Tribolium castaneum: one gene and its partner. The protein of the gene in region 2 purifies or fractionates together with the protein of the main gene of each other region. This does not show direct contact. Links are inferred from orthologs where the notes say so. Each region holds a gene or a part of one and is shown on either strand. Other genes may lie near its edges.

The links.
Region 1: the proteins of Khc (region 2) and Unc-76 purify together in Drosophila melanogaster (affinity purification with western blotting; 3 studies listed by BioGRID). This does not show direct contact. The link is inferred for Tribolium castaneum from reciprocal best matches to the Drosophila melanogaster genes Khc and Unc-76.

What each region holds. Positions count from the first base shown.
Region 1 is NC_087402.1:6,757,830-6,762,208, forward strand, and holds the start of Unc-76 (fasciculation and elongation protein zeta-2), read right to left. Parts: upstream 2,849-4,379; 5' UTR 2,794-2,848; coding exon 2,369-2,793; intron 1-2,368.
Region 2 is NC_087395.1:25,842,254-25,846,788, reverse strand, and holds the start of Khc (kinesin heavy chain), read right to left. Parts: upstream 3,066-4,535; 5' UTR 2,902-3,065; coding exon 2,755-2,901; intron 1-2,754. Other genes in the region: sorting nexin-29, read left to right, coding at 3,885-3,887, 3,934-4,210, 4,385-4,520. UniProt on the Drosophila melanogaster protein: Kinesin is a microtubule-associated force-producing protein that may play a role in organelle transport. Milt and Miro form an essential protein complex that links Khc to mitochondria for light chain-independent, anterograde transport of mitochondria.

The DNA of each region.
Region 1 (4,379 bases), on a different chromosome or scaffold from region 2:
ACGGATTATGTCAAACGATCTGAACAATCCAGGTCTGAAAGATCTGTTTGTAGGTCAGGGAAGCTGTAACTTTCAGTCCACGGCTAGACTTTACCGTTTTATTCTCAAATTTTGTCTTACACGAAGCGATGCCATCTGGTTTATTGGCAGCGGCGATAAATCAGCTCGGTCTGTGCAGAAAATCGCTCGAATTTGACAAATTTCTTGTGGGTGATGTTGTGGGCGATTGTTACACGAAACGTTTTATTACCCCAGACTGTCAAAAAAAATTGCCGATTAATTTACGAGCACTTATTTACCTATATTTCTCAAGTTTTCAAAGAAGGCAAAAGCAAACGCAAACAGATAAGAAAGTTAAATGAACCAAACGTTTCCGACGTTGTTTTAAGGCACCTCATCAAATATGCAAGTACAACATTTATTCAGACTGACAACAAACGCAATTTTTCGTAAACATAACATTGTTGGAGTGAAATTTTTCCCGAGAGGCAGGTTTCACAGGCGGTGACGATTAATTGAAATTCGTAGCTGCACTGCTCGAATTTCTTTAGAAAGTGCCACTTCAAACTGCTTAATTAGGTTTATTGACGTGCTGATGCGTTCTGGGTGGAAATTTGTATTTTCAGATAATACTCGTAATATTATTATTATTATTTATTAGACAAGGTGAAAAAATTAACACAAAGAAAATAACAAAAATTATGACAGTGAACATAAAAATTCGTCAACGGAATAAAATCCGTTGTCATGAAGCAGTTTTAAAAATTCTTTTTTAAACATCTTGCGTTCTTTAGTATGTTTCCATTTGTATACTGACCTCACATTATAATATTTCCAATTTTTGTAATAATAATATCAGTATTTATGATTTTAAAGTGTACCAATAAACAAAATAACGTAAAGTATACCTGGATAACTGGTCTTTAAAACACTTGCACTATTTCGAGCACTCCGGGTACGCCGTCGTGCTCGAAAAATTGCTCGTGTTTTAAAGACATACTTCAATTTTTTTATATTATTTATATCTTTTGCAATAACTGTTTATACCATTATAATAAAAACAACATTTCAATTTTTCTGGCGAGACAAGATAACGAAAGCTTGATTGAAGATTGAAAGAGCTGAGACCTGAGACATTTTTAAGCGGCATTTAATCGAACTTTGTTCTTTATGCGACATAAACCCAGAAAATTGGCTTTTCGCTCGCTACAACTTCACCCTTTCGAGGCATTTTCCACGTAATTACCCGATGTTTCGTTGACATACATACTTGGGTCTTGTAACTTGTCCTAAATGAAGTTTGCGCATCGGTGTCCTCGGTGCCTGTCTCGCTTTTGACGTCACGAGCTTTATATTAGAGCTTCCTGCACAAATTGGTCACAGTGACCCAACTGTGGGGCCCTTTCTCATGCTAATGACTTTTTACAAATGTACCCCCGCATTGGTGAATCACAGCAGTAATTTCATGCAAACGCAAACGGAGAATAGCAATTTTTCTAAAGCGGAAACTCTTGCTCAATTAACGGAAATGTGCAAAACTGAGTACGAATGAAGTGACCAAACGCTTTGTTTTCATGTGGTATTATTGACCGGTGGGTTTAAGTCAGGGACGTCGCGACGCCGCGGCGTCGGTGACTCAAACCAGGGACTGATTTTCCAGTCCTTAAATAAGCGATTTTCCGGCGTTCATTCTCAAGCATTCCTAAAGTGGACATTTTGACATTACGTTCGAGGGATGAAAGGGTGCAACACACCACCCTGACTTGTATTGATTTTCATCCCTTGATAGTACGCACGCGTAGATTGACTGAGTTTGTTGCCAATTTTACCAAAATATTGTGGACATGTTATTTGATTGATTTTCTTAATCAGATGTTGTCCTTGCTGGACATGGGGGCGTTCCGATAAGTTGGACAAACGTAGCTTTGTTTTGACAATATTGTCAAGAAATGACTTCCTCATATGTTCATCAGCTTGGGAACATTTTTTGTGAATTGTGGGTCGAAAGTGAGTCATTTTACCGACTCCTACGACTCCATTTAGCTTCATTTCAATGCTAAAAGTGACATATTCTCATTTGTCTGGAATATGGAGCATCACGTTTATTTTGATCCAAGTAGCGCGCAGATAACACCGGATGATTCATTTTTTCGACTAAATCAATTGTGGGGAAAATGCGGTGTTATTTCGGAACACCTTGACGGATTCCAACCGCGTTTTCCAGTCTTTAAATAACTCCCTGGTGCAATTAAACCCTTGTCTATTAACCGCGTGTTAACAGTAAAATCCAAAGTAAACATACAGTTATAGGTACTCAAAAATCACCATAAATCATTCGGGTAATACCTTGGTGAAAAAACGCACTTACTGGCATTCGTTCATGATCTCCTCCTGCGTCCGGACCTGGACGGGGGCCAACTTCTCCACCGACTCCTCGTAGTTGCCGAAGCACTTGGTGATTTTTTCATCGAACGTGTTAACGAGGTCCTCAAGCGAGCCCGAGAAAGTTTCGGTGAAGTTGTCGGCCACCGAGGCCGTTTCACCGTTTTTCAAAATCACGTTTTTTGGCGGCAAGGTTTCGGTGTTTGAATTGTTGAGGATGTCCTCATTGAAATCGTTCAGGACGTCGTTGATGTCTTTGATTTTTTTGTTCAGGTTGATGTTGTTCAGTTCGTTCTCGTTTTTTATGGTGGCGTTTTGAAACTCGGTCGAACCCCATTCATCCGATTCCTCGAATTGGGCCAGTGGTGCTTCAAATTTTAGTTCGGCCATTTTTGTGGCCAAATCCCGCATCGCGAAACACCACTCCACACTCACAGCCTGCACAACACTGCGGGAAACCCACGACGCCGCTGTCGAAGCTCGAGCAGAGATGGGCGCGGGTCGTGATACAGTAAAACCACGAGAACTCGAACACATATTTATTGCAAGGGGCTCTAGACGTCGATTGTTTACATTACGTATTACAGTTTGGAAATTAAAATGTGTAAACAACTGAAAATATATTCTGAGCGTTTGTGTGAAAAGAATGTTGTAACTTTATATAAAAAATAATAAACAAAATTCAACTTTTTTTTGAATATTTTTTTTTGTTTTTGTATCCTCAATTATTCTTAGCTTCTCTATAGAAAGAAAATAAAACTTGCAAAAGCTTCGAATAAAACAGCATCCGACAGCTTGGTCGGATGGTAGAGGTTTCACTATATTTTAAGTTGGTTTGTAGGAAATTTTCACTATTTTGCTATTTTTTAAATTCGAACTAATATTGCAAAGGGTCTAGAAAACGATTGTTTGCAATATCGAAACTGAAAAAAACATACAGTTTCAACTTCATATAAGAAATTATAAACAAAAATCAATTTTTTTTAAAAACGTATTTTTTTTTGTAAAATTTCTTAATTATTCTTAGTGTTCCTATAGAAAAAAAAATGATAAGATTTCTAAAAGGTTCGAATAAAACAGCATGGTCGCATTGTAGAGGTTTCACTGTATTTTAAATTGAATCAGAGGGAATTTTCGCTCAATACACTGATAAGGTGTAAGTAAACCGCGACAATAGTTAAAAAAATTGAAATAGTGCGCACTAATCTAATCGAAATCGCCTGACAACAATAAACTCTGAATTATTACATATTTCATTAACAAAAGATAATAAAGTTTCTAGAAAGATTTTTATGCTTTCATTGTTCCCTCTCAGATTATTGACATTTGAAAGTTGGATAATTTCCGATCCGACTAATTTGCTTTTAAATATTCAAATGAAATTATAAGAAAGTTGCAAAAAAAGTGAGTAGTTATTTGGATGATTTGGTCCGAAACCGGGGTTACTGTCTCTTCGTGGTCCCGTTATTAATCTTTTTATAAAATATGCGATTTATGTAACTGTTGTACTCATCTCTATATCAAAGATGCGTGTGATTCCGGTGCGCATCAGTACAGCATCAACACTGGACCAGTTGAGATAAATATTGCTTGCGTCTTAAAACTTGATTTTTTTAAACATTTACTTTATTTTTTCTGACATTGTTTATCAGTGAATTCCTCAAGACAGATATTTGTGGATAAATCGGCCAATGAACCATTATTAGGTGTTATGTTATGCAATTTGCGTTATTGATTCTGTATTATTGGTTGCCTATTTATTTCAATTGAAATAAAAAAAAAAGTTATTGATGCATAAATAACATTTAAAAAATAAAACCACAGACACTTTTTGTTATAAGTTCGTCCTGGAATGTGTATACAAAAGTTGCTTATTCGTCCGATTCTGCAAAGTGGGGTAATGTGAGACATGACAAGGATACAAATGAAACTAACTTGAATTGCATATAATGATCAAAATAAAGGCTATGTTCCTACTATGTACCTATTTTTGATTT
Region 2 (4,535 bases):
TTTACAAGAAGTGTAACAAAACGTGTAAAAAATGGACTTCCTGAAAGTCGCTATAAAAAAATTGAGGTTTAATACCGGGTTTCACTGTTTTTTTTCGTTGTATTTCAGTTAAATAGTAGTTAAAAAAATTAAAAATAAAAAACACAGCATTTTTTCTTTTGACCGATATTTAATTTAATACAGGGATATTTTTTATTAGCATTGAATATTAAATTATAAATAAATGTGACAGGTACTAAAAATCTAGAAAATTTAATAAGAGAAAACAGTGACTCACCTTATACTTTCCATTTAGTGTGTTTTACTTATGATCATAAACTAAAAAGTTAAATTTTTTTTTCGAAAAAATTCAAAATTTGTCCAGAACTGCAAAAAAATCGTAAAATATCTTGGTTTTTATCAATTGACATAAAAACTATTATCAGAAAATCATCGCAAACTATTTTAATACCTGACATCACTTTCTAACGCGTCACGACCAATTTTCTACGAAAATAAACAAATAAAACCGACAGTTATTTCCTGATTCATCTCATTTATAATTAACTTAACCAGGCGAGACTTCGAGATATGCAAGATTAAAAACAGACAGTAGCAATTGTAACTTAAATATCAGAATCGTGACTTTGCAAAACGAGATTAAATAATTTTTTAAAGTTACAACACATTGATTTTTTGATACGATCGTTCCGTACATCTATTTATAAAACAACGGTGTAATTGCTTTTATCAGAGCTTGAAATTTGATTTCTTTTAAATAATTCATAAAACGCGTCCTGGATTTGTGTACAATGTTGCAAAACAGAAGAGAGGACCTAAATAGAACGAACGCTCGGTCAAGGGCAGAGCCTGATTATTGATTGTGAAGAAAACGGAACACTCCGCAAAAGAGAGAATGTAAACAAAGTCTGAAAAATTAAAAAAAAACAACGCGAAAACGAAGCAATCAATCCAGCGTTAATCGAAAGCAACGGCAAAACAATTAATCGATCACTTTAGGTAAAAAGCTTGACAAAAATACGTTCTCATTATCTTATTAAATATTGAAATAATAATTTCCCCTCCCCTTTGAAGATAATTACATCACAGAAAAAGGTTCAACGCTCTGTAAGAACTATCGATTGGTTACTTTTGGTCGTAGGTTGTGAATAGAATAGTGAAAATAACACTACCTACTTCCACCAAACACGCGACCGAATCCTACAGCAATACGCCTCTAATTTTTTTAATCTTAAAACGATGGAAAGTCGAACACAATGCAAAATTAATCACCCGAACGAATTAGCGCTTTCTTCGCCCACAGAACGAACGCATTTCTAGCTTTCTTGCACATCCGAATAATAAACCAAGCAGAAACAAAAGTGTGAACGTGTGCACCCTCATGGATTATTTCCTTCTCTCGACTTATCCTTGATCGATCCGATGTTTTTTAACGAAATTAATTAACCTTTACCCAACAAACACACAATCTGAGATAATCTCAGCCAAAACATACGCAAAAATGACGACTTTGTTGTCTGAGAGTGTTCTAGAATTCGCAGTTTTTGCTCTGCTTCCGTGTTAATCTCGCCTGATTATAGGGCAATTAGGCGTTGATTATTGTAATAAAAACAAATTACGATAATGCAACAAAGAAATAGAGAACTTATTTGATTCTTTTATCAAATTACTGTCAATTCTATTCTGACAGCAAAACTGTCACGTACACGCGAATAAAAAAATACTATTATTTCCGTGTTGCATTCATTTATTTTTTGCAGTTTTTTATTAACTTATTTCAGAAAAAACGAGATAAAAAAATTAAAACCAATTTATTATTAAGCCTACAAAAGCAACAAGAAATAAAAAACGTATAATAATCAGTATTAAAAACGTGAATTTTTTCACGTCAAAAAAAGAAGAACCACTTGATTGTTTGATGTTGTATTTAGATAATTTTGCTATACAGAGTGTTGACGATAAAAATGATCATCGATGAAGTTATGTCATGAATAAAGTAAATCAAATTTTGACAAATGTCACGTTGACATGCAGGTTCACAAACTTGGTAAATTAGTTTTTAGTTTCAAAATTGTTGAGACAAAACAGTGACTAAAAACAAATATTGGCCGATTAAACTTTGTTATCGTAAAAAGTGGGATAATGCACGAGAACCGCATTTATAGAGCAAATAAACCAAAAATTTGCCTTTTTAATTCATTTGACAACTAGTTATCAGACAAAACAAACAACAAATAAAGGGGGGGGGGCGATTTAATTAAACAAAAAAACGAGATTTTTATTATTTTATGAAGCACTTAAACAATAAAATATTCCATTAGCTAAACGTTCCGGCAGAGATAAAGTGATAAAAATCAATAGTCCAATTTTTCCTGCGGAAACTTGACATTTGACATTCTAATTGACAGATTTCAATTGTTTTTTTTTCTTTTTTTTTTGAAGAATAATAAATGCGCTGACCCGTACCATGTTCACCCATTGTGACCATCGTTAAAATTTACGTCTTAATGGTCCATGGTAGCGATCCGTACCAATTAATTTCTCCAACTGTTGTAAAGTAAAATGAGAGCATGGGTGAGTCGATCGGAAATCGATTTTTCGAGACAATGGCCGGTGCAAAGAATCGATTTTCATGTCTCAGGGATGATTTTTTTGGTGGAAACGGGGTCTAATTAGCGTGGACTCGGTGGAGCGCAACCGAAATGACGTAAGCCACTGATAAAAAATGCGAGTTTTGGCCGTTTTTCCACTCACCGCTATCGAAATACAATTATCTTCGCCTCCTGAAGGGAATTTCACGATGAATTTCGACCCAGCCTTCTCCTCTGAATCATTGAGGGGTCGAAACCTACACACGACTTTAATACTGTCTTCAGCTGGAATTTCCCGATCGCCCGACATCGTAAAGCACTTTAATCACTCACAGCACAAATTAATAAATTAATTACAAACTAAGTAAAACTATAAATGATACATTTGTATAAAAAATTGCGGGTTCTTTGCAACAATGACAACTCCTCCTACATCGAACTGTCGGCCATCTTAGCGCAGTGGTGCCAAGCAATCCGTAGGAAATGAACTTCCCCAATCCCCACACAGTGGTTTAAATTTTTTGTAAAACCCCTTTTCTAACCACTCGTTAAGTAATAGTCGTTTATTAAAGTTAGGGAAAAACTGCTTTATTAAAAATTGTTAACACTTCTATTTAAAAGACTTTCGACAAAACGTCTGAGGAAAAAATAATAAGAACAGGCGCATAAAAACATAAACAATTAAATCTAATCATAATCACAAATAGCAATCAACTGCAATGTAACAATTAAGTGAATTATCAAATTTCGGAAATTCATAGATCAGCCTATGATTCGGAACGAAGCACTTTCGGACCATTCGAACACCCCTAAATCAAAATTTTTTATTAATCTACCCTGGCAGTGTTATATCGCAACACACCCGTGGAACTTTTTGTACCAACTTCTCGTCCTCTTGTTTAATTTAAAATAGTGAATATAATAAAAATGACAATAATTATTAGCAAGAGTGATTACCGAAACCGCACCCGACCGAATGATGTCACCCATAACCAGAATCATAATTTTGCTTAAATTCGTCTAAAACAACCAAAATTCGGCTAAAATCGCCCCAAATCAGTCGTTTCCAGCCAAAACAGCCCAATTTTGGCCAAATTAACTCGCTGACATTAGCCCAGTTTGACACTTCCCAATCAGCTGATTGTACCAGTAGTGTCTGTTTTGTGTTTTTAATCGAAAATCCTGTGATATCACGTTTCTGGCGATAAGGGCCCCACTGCAACCCATCTTATCGCAATGTTATGCCACCTCGAGTCAGATTCACCCATGCCATGACCGGCCAAGGTTATAATTATGGTGAGTTTTTGTTGCTTGAAATTGCCCTAAAACCTTGAAATTTCAGTCCCTGAAGCTCATGTCGGCTGTAATTTCGCCAAATATCGCAAATCAACCGAAATCCGAAACCGCTGATAAACTCCTACGACAGTTACTCGAGTGCGTGCAAGAGTGCCAAAAACGATATGGGGGAAAAACCGAACTAGCGACTGAGTTTGATAGCTGTGTTGTGGCCCTGTGCTTGACGCTCGAGGCCGTTTTGCTGCACGGAATCCGGGTAAACCCCCAAGGCTCCGCTTTGAAGCAAGTGGCGAGCAGTCTGCATCTAGGGGGCGAGAACCCTTGTAAGTGACTGGCTAGGATGTGAAACGACATACAAGTGAAAAAATCACAAAATTTGGTCGAAAATGTCCAAAAATTTATTTTTACTCTGCCGTACTGTTTTTTTGTATCTCGTTTCGTCTCTTAAGCTCTCCGTATGTTAGTACGTGTTGCCAACTGATTTTTTTTTTTTGAAGCGTTTTGGCCGTTTGTTAGGACGCATTTAACGAAGCATGAGCAGGAGAGATACGCCGTTTTGAAACATATCTGGACTGACACGGGCCGCGGGCGTGCGTGGATCAGGGCGGCGCTGAACGAGCGTTCTCTGGAAAGGTCAGTTGGGGTTTC